Linked DNA regions of Neurospora crassa OR74A. The protein of the gene in region 1 purifies or fractionates together with the protein of each later gene. This does not show direct contact. Links are inferred from orthologs where the notes say so. Each region holds a gene or a part of one and is shown on either strand. Other genes may lie near its edges.

What was found. Proteins that work in one complex are often made in the same cells at the same time.
Region 2: the proteins of rad23 (region 1) and rpt-2 purify together in Saccharomyces cerevisiae (affinity purification with mass spectrometry, with the first as the bait; 3 studies listed by BioGRID). This does not show direct contact. The link is inferred for Neurospora crassa OR74A from reciprocal best matches to the Saccharomyces cerevisiae genes RAD23 and RPT2.

Annotation. Positions count from the first base shown.
Region 1 is NC_026503.1:4,431,843-4,435,779, forward strand, and holds rad23 (rad23-like protein), read right to left. Parts: upstream 2,802-3,937; 5' UTR 2,379-2,801; coding exon 2,361-2,378; intron 2,131-2,360; coding exon 2,083-2,130; intron 1,902-2,082; coding exon 1,829-1,901; intron 1,766-1,828; coding exon 1,686-1,765; intron 1,624-1,685; coding exon 1,279-1,623; intron 1,219-1,278; coding exon 631-1,218; 3' UTR 131-630; downstream 1-130. UniProt on the Saccharomyces cerevisiae protein: Plays a central role both in proteasomal degradation of misfolded proteins and DNA repair.
Region 2 is NC_026505.1:3,289,357-3,293,443, forward strand, and holds rpt-2 (26S protease regulatory subunit 4), read right to left. Parts: upstream 2,801-4,087; 5' UTR 2,592-2,800; coding exon 2,589-2,591; intron 2,523-2,588; coding exon 2,463-2,522; intron 2,349-2,462; coding exon 1,539-2,348; intron 1,482-1,538; coding exon 975-1,481; 3' UTR 552-974; downstream 1-551. Other genes in the region: NCU01223 (hypothetical protein), read left to right, coding at 1-98, 201-551; NCU01225 (ubiquitin conjugating enzyme), read left to right, coding at 3,747-4,007. UniProt on the Saccharomyces cerevisiae protein: The 26S proteasome is involved in the ATP-dependent degradation of ubiquitinated proteins. The regulatory (or ATPase) complex confers ATP dependency and substrate specificity to the 26S complex. Has ATPase activity.

The sequences.
Region 1 (3,937 bases):
TAGGTTTTATATACCCATCAACCGGAGGGGCACTTAGTTAGGTATGGAAATAGGGAAGGGAAAAACAAATGGAGACACACAAAAAAAAAGGGTTCTTGATCATACTACTTGTATGCGGACGGTTTCATGGTCTCGGATCTTATCTTCGTTTTCATTGCTGGTTATGGTTCGTGATGGGAATGCTTCGTTCACTCTTCAAGGGACAGGACTATAGAGTACATAAAGAATAGAGTGATTCGTAAGCTGTGAAAACACCACACCTCTGTAGTTATCCTTGATCTAGATCTCCGCGAAGCATTTTTTTCAGTGTCATCACCCCATTCACTCTTGATGCTTCCTTACTAAAACTCGTCGAAACCTGTCGCGCAGTGGATAGATCAGACACACAAAGCCCACCCGTATATTGCATGTGAACGTTGATCAGCAGTGTTGAGCATTTTGAGCTCCCTAAGGTATAATGTCATCATAAAGTCTCCAATGCATCCTAAGCAAGCCCAAACCATCCAGCCGTCGCCCACATTTCAAATGCAAAGGCAGCTGCTAACGAAAATCCACCCTGCCAACGACTTTTAACGCCCAGTTACGAAAAACCCAAAAATATCTCATTCCAGCCTACAGTCTCACCCCTATTTATTGTTGGGGCATGTCGTCATCTTCCTCCGGTCCTTGATCGAAAAGGAAGTTGGCGGCAAGCTCCTCGTCCTTGTCGCAAGCGAAGTAGGCCTGGATGGCCTGGTCCTGGGGAAAGCCCAGGCGGGTGAGACGCTCAATGGCATCGCGTTCCTCTTCTGTGACAGCAATACCGACAGAGCCACCCTCACCACCCTCGCCAAGGAGGTTCAGGAACTGATCCGAGTTCTGGGCGATCATCTGGGCAAGCTGAGGGTTGCCGGCACCGAGCTGTTGCAAGATAGGCTCCAGCATCTGGGGCTGCTCCTGTACAAGCTGACGCATTTGCTGGAATTGCGCGTTGTTGCGGAGGAAGTCGAGGTTACCAAGACCAGCGGCCTCGGCACCAGCACCCTCCGCACCACGAGCACCACGTCCGCCAGCGCTGTTGCCGAGCTGAGCGGCAAGGTCGAAAAGGTTGACTTGATCGTCATCATCACCACCGGCAGCAGCGGGGGAAGCCGCCTGAGCGGCAGCAGCAGGGGCAGCAGCCGGAGCGGCAGAAGGCTGGCGAGAGGCAGTTTGTTGCTGGAGGTTGGCGGGAATACCCTAAAGCTGTGTCAGTAAACCAGACATAGATCGGAAAGTGGAATGAGTTGTGAAACGTACGTTCAAGAGATACTCCACAGCGCGCTCGGGGTTGAAAAAGGCGGCACGCATAGCAGCGTCAATCTGCGAACGCTCGAAACCCATAGCCTCCATGTTGGCAATGGCCTCGGCGCGCTGCTCGCCCATGGCAAGGGCGTTGGCATCGCGAGCACCGGCAGCTGGGGCCGCCTCAGGAGCCGCAGCGGTTCTAGCGGGCGTCGGCGTCGAAGGGGCAGCGGCAGCAGCGCTGGAGGCCGCGGGAGCGGCAGGGGGAGCAGGTGTTGAGGCCGGGGCGGCGGCAGCGGGGGTAGCGGGGGCAGCGGCAGACGACGACGACTCGGCTGGCTTGGGGGCAGTGGTCTTGGGCTGCGCAAAGTGTCAGCTTCATCTTTGTACAAGGACGTGAGTAATAACGGGGGAAATAGTACCTTGTTCACGACGCAGACAACGAAGCCCTTCTCCTCGATCTTGTACGACTCGACGGTCTCCTCATCCTTCAAGATCTTACCTGTTGGGGTAAAGTCAGTATTCGGGAGCGGTATCCATCGTTTGAGAAGCAAGCGATGCTTACCGGAGTAGATAAGCTTCTGCAGCTCGGGAGCCCAGCCCCTCTCCTCGGAGATCTTCTGCTTGACCTTGGAAATCTGCAACCGGTTAGCTTCTAGCTCGCCAGCATCATGCACGTCTCCCGAAGCGACATGGGAGGCTCGCGACGCCGACAGAGCATTCGATTGTCGAGGGCTGTCACGGCGTGTTGGATGTCTCCATGACGTCGGCCTGAGGTAAAGGGTGTAAGGAAATGGGAGGCGACGAAGGGTAACCAACAGTCTCGGTAGGCTCGATCTCGAGCGTAAACTTTTGTTGTTTGAGGTCCTAGATGAACGAACAGTCATTGTTAGTATTTGACTATATAGACTTTGAGAGCTTATGGACAGAGGGAGCGAGCTCTGATCCAACCAGGCAGACAGGATTCAAAGAAGACGCTGGGTTGTTTCCGAATTTGCTGAGAAGCCATCGCGGTACGTCTGGCTCGTTGTCTGCCTGGCTGGCTGGCTGGCTGGCTACGTCAAACACTCGACATGGGCAAGCTTATGGGCACGTACCTTGAAAGTAACCTTCATGATGGGCAATCTGCGACGCAGCTAAACGGCTGCTACGTTGACACTGAGAGTCTGATGATGTAAGTAAAGTCTGTCCGGACGGGCGAGCTTCGTTGGGTTCCGAGTCGCGATGGGAGACAGCAAGATTTGTTGCAGTCGGCGGAGTTGGGCGAGGACGAGGAAAAAAAGTGGAAGTGGTTAGTTGGTTGCTGTGGTAAGGTTGATGTGTGTGGGAAGGCTGCCGCAGAGATGGCGAGGTGGCATACAGGGGAGGAGATAGTTGTAATCGCTGTGGCAAGAAATATGGAAGGTAGCAGGGAAGCTTGAACGTTTTACAGCGGCTTGTGATGACTGATGAGGCAGCTTTGAGGCGGAGAATTTGGGGTTTGTTCGCTTCACCTGAGTGCACTGAATGGAAGAGGGGCACAGCAGGCGGGTAGCCAGGTTCACGGTGTGCTACCTACGGCAGTGAATGGCTGGGGGGAAGCGGCAGGCAAAGTGCAGTGGACAGGCACAAGGCAGCGGCCATTGTTAGGCGGGGGGGGCTGCGCGGCATCTTGCCGCCTGGAGCTGGTGGAGAGGTCACAGTCGTCACGCTGCCATCCCGTCCGTCTGTACACACAACACAGACTGATTGATCCCATGGATCCATTCACTTTCCAGGTTGTGTTGGCCTTGTTGCGTTGAAAAACATGAATTGGTTTTCTTTGTTAGTCTTGCTTTTGAATGTCACTGAACTGATAACCACATGCTTCCGTTGGCGATGGAAGTTGATGCAAAATCAAAGGGGAATGTTTGATGTCATGCTGTGAGCCAATCCAAAGGACCCATCTTCTTTCATCTCTTTTTATTCTATTTGAATTTTTTTTGCGATGAAGAAGATGAAGTCATCGCTGATTATGGCAGTGTCACGGCAATACTAGGTAATAGATCTCCACTCATAAGCGCGTATAAAATGGGGCTGAAGAACACCTTCCATCTGTACCAATCATACGCATTGGTAGGCTCCCTTGGAAAGAGCACCAGATAAGATAAGGCCTCCGTCACGTTCGTGACCCGACGTGGATCGTGACATTGAATTGACTACGAGTAACCTTCCCTTCGGTTATCATCGCAAAAACGACGGAACGGTAGCATTGGGGTTACTTTTCAAGGCAGCAAACATGATTTGAGCCAGACATCGTTTTATTCTGGTTTCTCTCATCACCATTCCCAAGCTTCCAAGCTACCTACATCTCCATCGCAGTCATGGTCGGACGTCTAAGCATCATAGCTTAGATGGAAAATCACAGCTCAATGTCACCGCGCATATTTCGTGGGCACGATCTTTTGTTCTGACTTCTTCGGTTCTCATCCGCTACATCTTTCAGTCGTCCGTCTCGCGCATAGCGCAGAGAAGCATCTATCTGAATCCATCCATCATCTAGCCATCCTTCTATCCAACCATAGCCGAGCTTTTCTATACACAAATCCCACCTATCCAAGACCCATCTTTAGGTATGGAACTCAAGTCCAACGCCTCGCAATCAAAGGTATCATATTCACGTCCTCAAAACAAAATCCTCCTCCCCTCCCCCAAG
Region 2 (4,087 bases), on another chromosome or scaffold:
CTAGGCTCCGGCTTCCTCGCTGGCATCCACATCTAGGACTGCGTCTGCGTTTCACGCACCCCCTCGGCCGTGTGCGCGCTTTCGCTGAGCGCCCCCGTGTAAGTCGCAGTGGGAACGTAGGGATCGTTGCTGGGCCGATGGAACTGGGGCGGGGGTAGAGGGTGTGCTTGGTGGTTCTGGTCGCTCTTCTTCCATTTCAGACCAAGGGGAAGAGAAACAGAAGGATGATGGTGATAGTAAACCGTTGGTGTACGGTTATATCAGGAGCAAGGGGGGCTGTATGCAGGGGAGTCGATGGATGGGACGGTGGTGGTGGTGTCGAGGGGGGTGCGAATGAGGAGTTTTATGGGAGGAAGGGGATCACGGTGAAGGAGATTCCGAAAGGGGGTGTGCCTTGGCCGGAACGAGGGCGAGATACGAAGGATGGTAAAAAGGTTTGGTCGGAGGGGGTAATGGGCTTGGTGGAGGCTTTGAGTGCGGCTGATCAGCAGGGGAGGAGAATATGTGATGGGGACCATGATGGTTCAAGCAGGAGAGTAAAGGGTGGTTAAATGTATAGAGATAGAGAGAAGGATACACGCAGAAGGATAGATTAGATGCCGCCTGGTGACAATGGGAGAGATAGCATACGTAGGAGGTGCAGCGTCAAGCTTACATGAGTAGGATGAGAGGCAGTGGTGGGCTTCACGTTTTGCGTAGATACAACTGACATGAAGCTGGACTTCACAATGAATGTATCAACGAACCAACAATTTAAGGCGTGGAAAACATACCCTTACAGGAGCCAACCGTAAAGTTTCTTCTTTCTCCATGATAAAACGCTACGGTATCCCTTCATCTTCACTCAAACTAAGGTACGCTTAGTGATGGCTGGATATCGACATCACAAGGCTGAATTGTCAAATCCATTCCCAGTCGCAATCCGCCCAAATCTGAAAAGTCTTGCAAATTAGGCCAGATAATATGCGGTTATGTTACAAGTACAAGCCCTCGGGCTCGCCTTCCTGCTTGGTGCGCAGAACTCTTTCACGAGCAGCTCTGAAGTCTGCCATCTGCACCCGCATTCTGCGCTCACGGAGGGCCATGAGACCGGCCTCAGAGCAGATGGCCTTGATGTCGGCACCTGAGAGATCGTCCTTCTGGGCGATGAACTCTTCCAGGTCAACATCCTCGTTAAGTGACATCTTGCTGGTGTGGAGCGTGAAGATCTTGCGCTTGGTGTTCTGGTCGGGATTCTCGAAGAGAATCTTGCGGTCGATACGGCCAGGACGGATTAAAGCAGGGTCAAGCGACTCGATCTTGTTGGTGGCCATGATGACCTTGACGTCTCCACGGTCGTCGAAACCATCCAGCTGGTTCAGCAGCTCCAACATGGTTCTCTGGATTTCACGTTCGCCGCCCGATGTCGAGTCGTAACGCTTGGTACCGATGGCATCGATTTCGTCGATGAACACGATGGAAGGGGCATTCTCGGCGGCAACCTGAGGAACATGTTAGAGTATATATTTGACAGTGTAGCTTGAAACACTTTTACATACCTGGAAAAGCTGGCGGACCAGTCGAGGACCATCACCAAGATACTTTTGGATAAGCTCGCTACCAACGATGCGCAAGAACGTTGCCGAAGTTTGGTTTGCCACAGCCTTGGCAAGGAGGGTCTTACCGGTACCGGGAGCACCGTAAAGAATGACACCCTTGGGTGGCTTGATACCCATTTCTTCGTAGAGCTCCGGATGCAGCAATGGAAGCTCAACTGATTCACGAACTTCCTGGATCTGCTGTTCCAAGCCACCAATATCCGCGTACGACTCCGTGGGCGCCTTGTCAAGCTTCATGACGCTGACGGCCGGATCCGTGTCGTCGGTGAGCACGCCAACAATGCTGACACTCTTGTGATGTAGCAGGACGCTGGCGCCGGGCTCCAGAAGGTCTTTGTCGACAAAGCTCATGATGCTAACGTAGTACTCGGGCCCCGATGTGCTGGAAACGATGGCGTGGTCGTCGTCGATCAACTCCTCGAGAACACCGACACCCATGGGGCTGCCACGCATATCATCGACACGGGAGCGCTCGTCAGCCATACGGTCGGAAGACTCGAGCTCGGACGCAGGAGCATTGCTGTCCTTGGCGGTCTTCGCCTTGCGTAGACGTTCTTGATTTTCGACATATTCTTCCTCGAGCAGTAGATGATCGTGGATTCGTTGCATTCGTAGGAGTCGGAGTTTGCATCGGCTTGTCGGATACACTGAGGGGAGCTTGGCGGCAGCGCTGGCACCGCCTTGTCTCTTCTTCTTGCGACCGATGCGGGTGGTAGGCTTCGGCGGCGGCTCGTACTTGGGCTTATCTTTCTGTTTTGGTGGCGATGGTGGTTAGCGATGTCCATGATGTCAGCGCCTGAGTCTCACAGGACAGCAAGCATGCCGCGCACAACAGAAACCTTGACGCAACTGAAGCCATCCTACCTTATCTTTCTTGGACTTTGAAGGGTCCTGGCCTCCGCCCATGCCAGACTGATTTTGACCCTGCGCAGCTTGTCAGTATGCGATGCGTTGCAAGCTTGAGCTCAGCTCCGTATTGCGGCAACTGACCATGTTGACGGTCCGCCTTTCGCGATTCTTGAAAGTGTGGTGGAAGACTCAAAGGGGTGCTGAGAATTATATGATGGGGTCGCAAAAGTGCCGCACGATCTGAACTCGTTGATCTCAGCGGCAGTGATGGAAACGATTAAGTTGTGCTGGTGTTCGTTGTTGGCGGATGCCCGTTTGAGGTTCAGTTGCGACGGGATGGCGAGCTCCAGTTCAGGCCCCCAGTGAACGCGACACACCTCATCCGTCTGTCGTCCAGTCGTACACCTGACGCACAGACCATCAAGACTACTAAGCTGCCGGGGGCAATAGCACCTTGCATGTCGTTTGAGCGCTCCTAGCACTTGCTGTGCGTTTGCATTCGATCTGTCTACTGACCATACCTGGACAAGCTGCACAGCTTTAAGTTTGTACTTGTACCGTATGACGGACTGTTTTCCCATACATACAGCGCATGGCCACGACATTGGCAAGGGAGGGGACCATCCCAGGGACGAGTCCAGCCAGAGCCTCCTGCTTCCATCCTATCCCGTCGCAACTTTGTGTACATTGGAGGGCGACAGTGGTCATTCGTCCTCAACCTTGCCCGTACTATACTAAAAAATAAAGCAAGGTGTGGCTGAGGCGATCAAAACACTAGGAAGAACACCACGCTCGCCAATTAGGTTATGTGAGCATTTGACTCTTGGCACTCTTGGGTACCTCTACGGACGCTGCTCCCCACCTGACTCTTGAAGTTGCCTTTTTGCTTTCCTTTCCCTCGACAGGAAGTGACGACGACCATCTCACCTTGTCAGCGAATGCTCTTTCAGCCTTGCATTCACAAATAACCTACGGTACCTAAGCAGGCCCGGTTCGCCAATCCTCGATCAGTTGCGGAAGAAAACCTAAAACGTCCTGTCGTTCGTTCCACTGCCAGCTCCTCCATCACTGAAGAAACCCTCCCGTCTCACCTTGCAACATCATTTCACGGGCCTCCTTGACCCCTCCACAAGGTTAATCTTATCAGTACTCCGTTGTTATACTTCACTTATTTCGCTGAACACCACTTCCTACCATCTTATTTGCGTCCAACAGCAAACCATATACTGTACCCACTCCCATTCCCATTTGGGCGCAATACACTTCCCTTCCTCTGCACCAACACCCCATCACTTGACCATGGCGACTACTCGTGAGCGCCGCGTTGCGAAGGAATTGCAGGATATATGGAATGACCGCGAGACCTCGGGCGTCATGGCCGAACCTCTCGACTCGAGCAATCTGTCGCACCTCAAGGGCTCCTTCAGCGGCCCTCCAGACTCGCCCTATGCTGGGGGTACATACGAGGTCGACATTCAGATTCCGGATAAGTACCCGTTCAAGCCGCCCTCGATGTATCTTATTACCAAGATCTGGCACCCCAACGTCAGCAGTGTCACTGTACGTTTCTCTCGTTTTTGTCCCCTTGTTTTATGATGGATGTTAGGAAGTAGGTGGAGTTTGGAGAGCTCAACTAACCC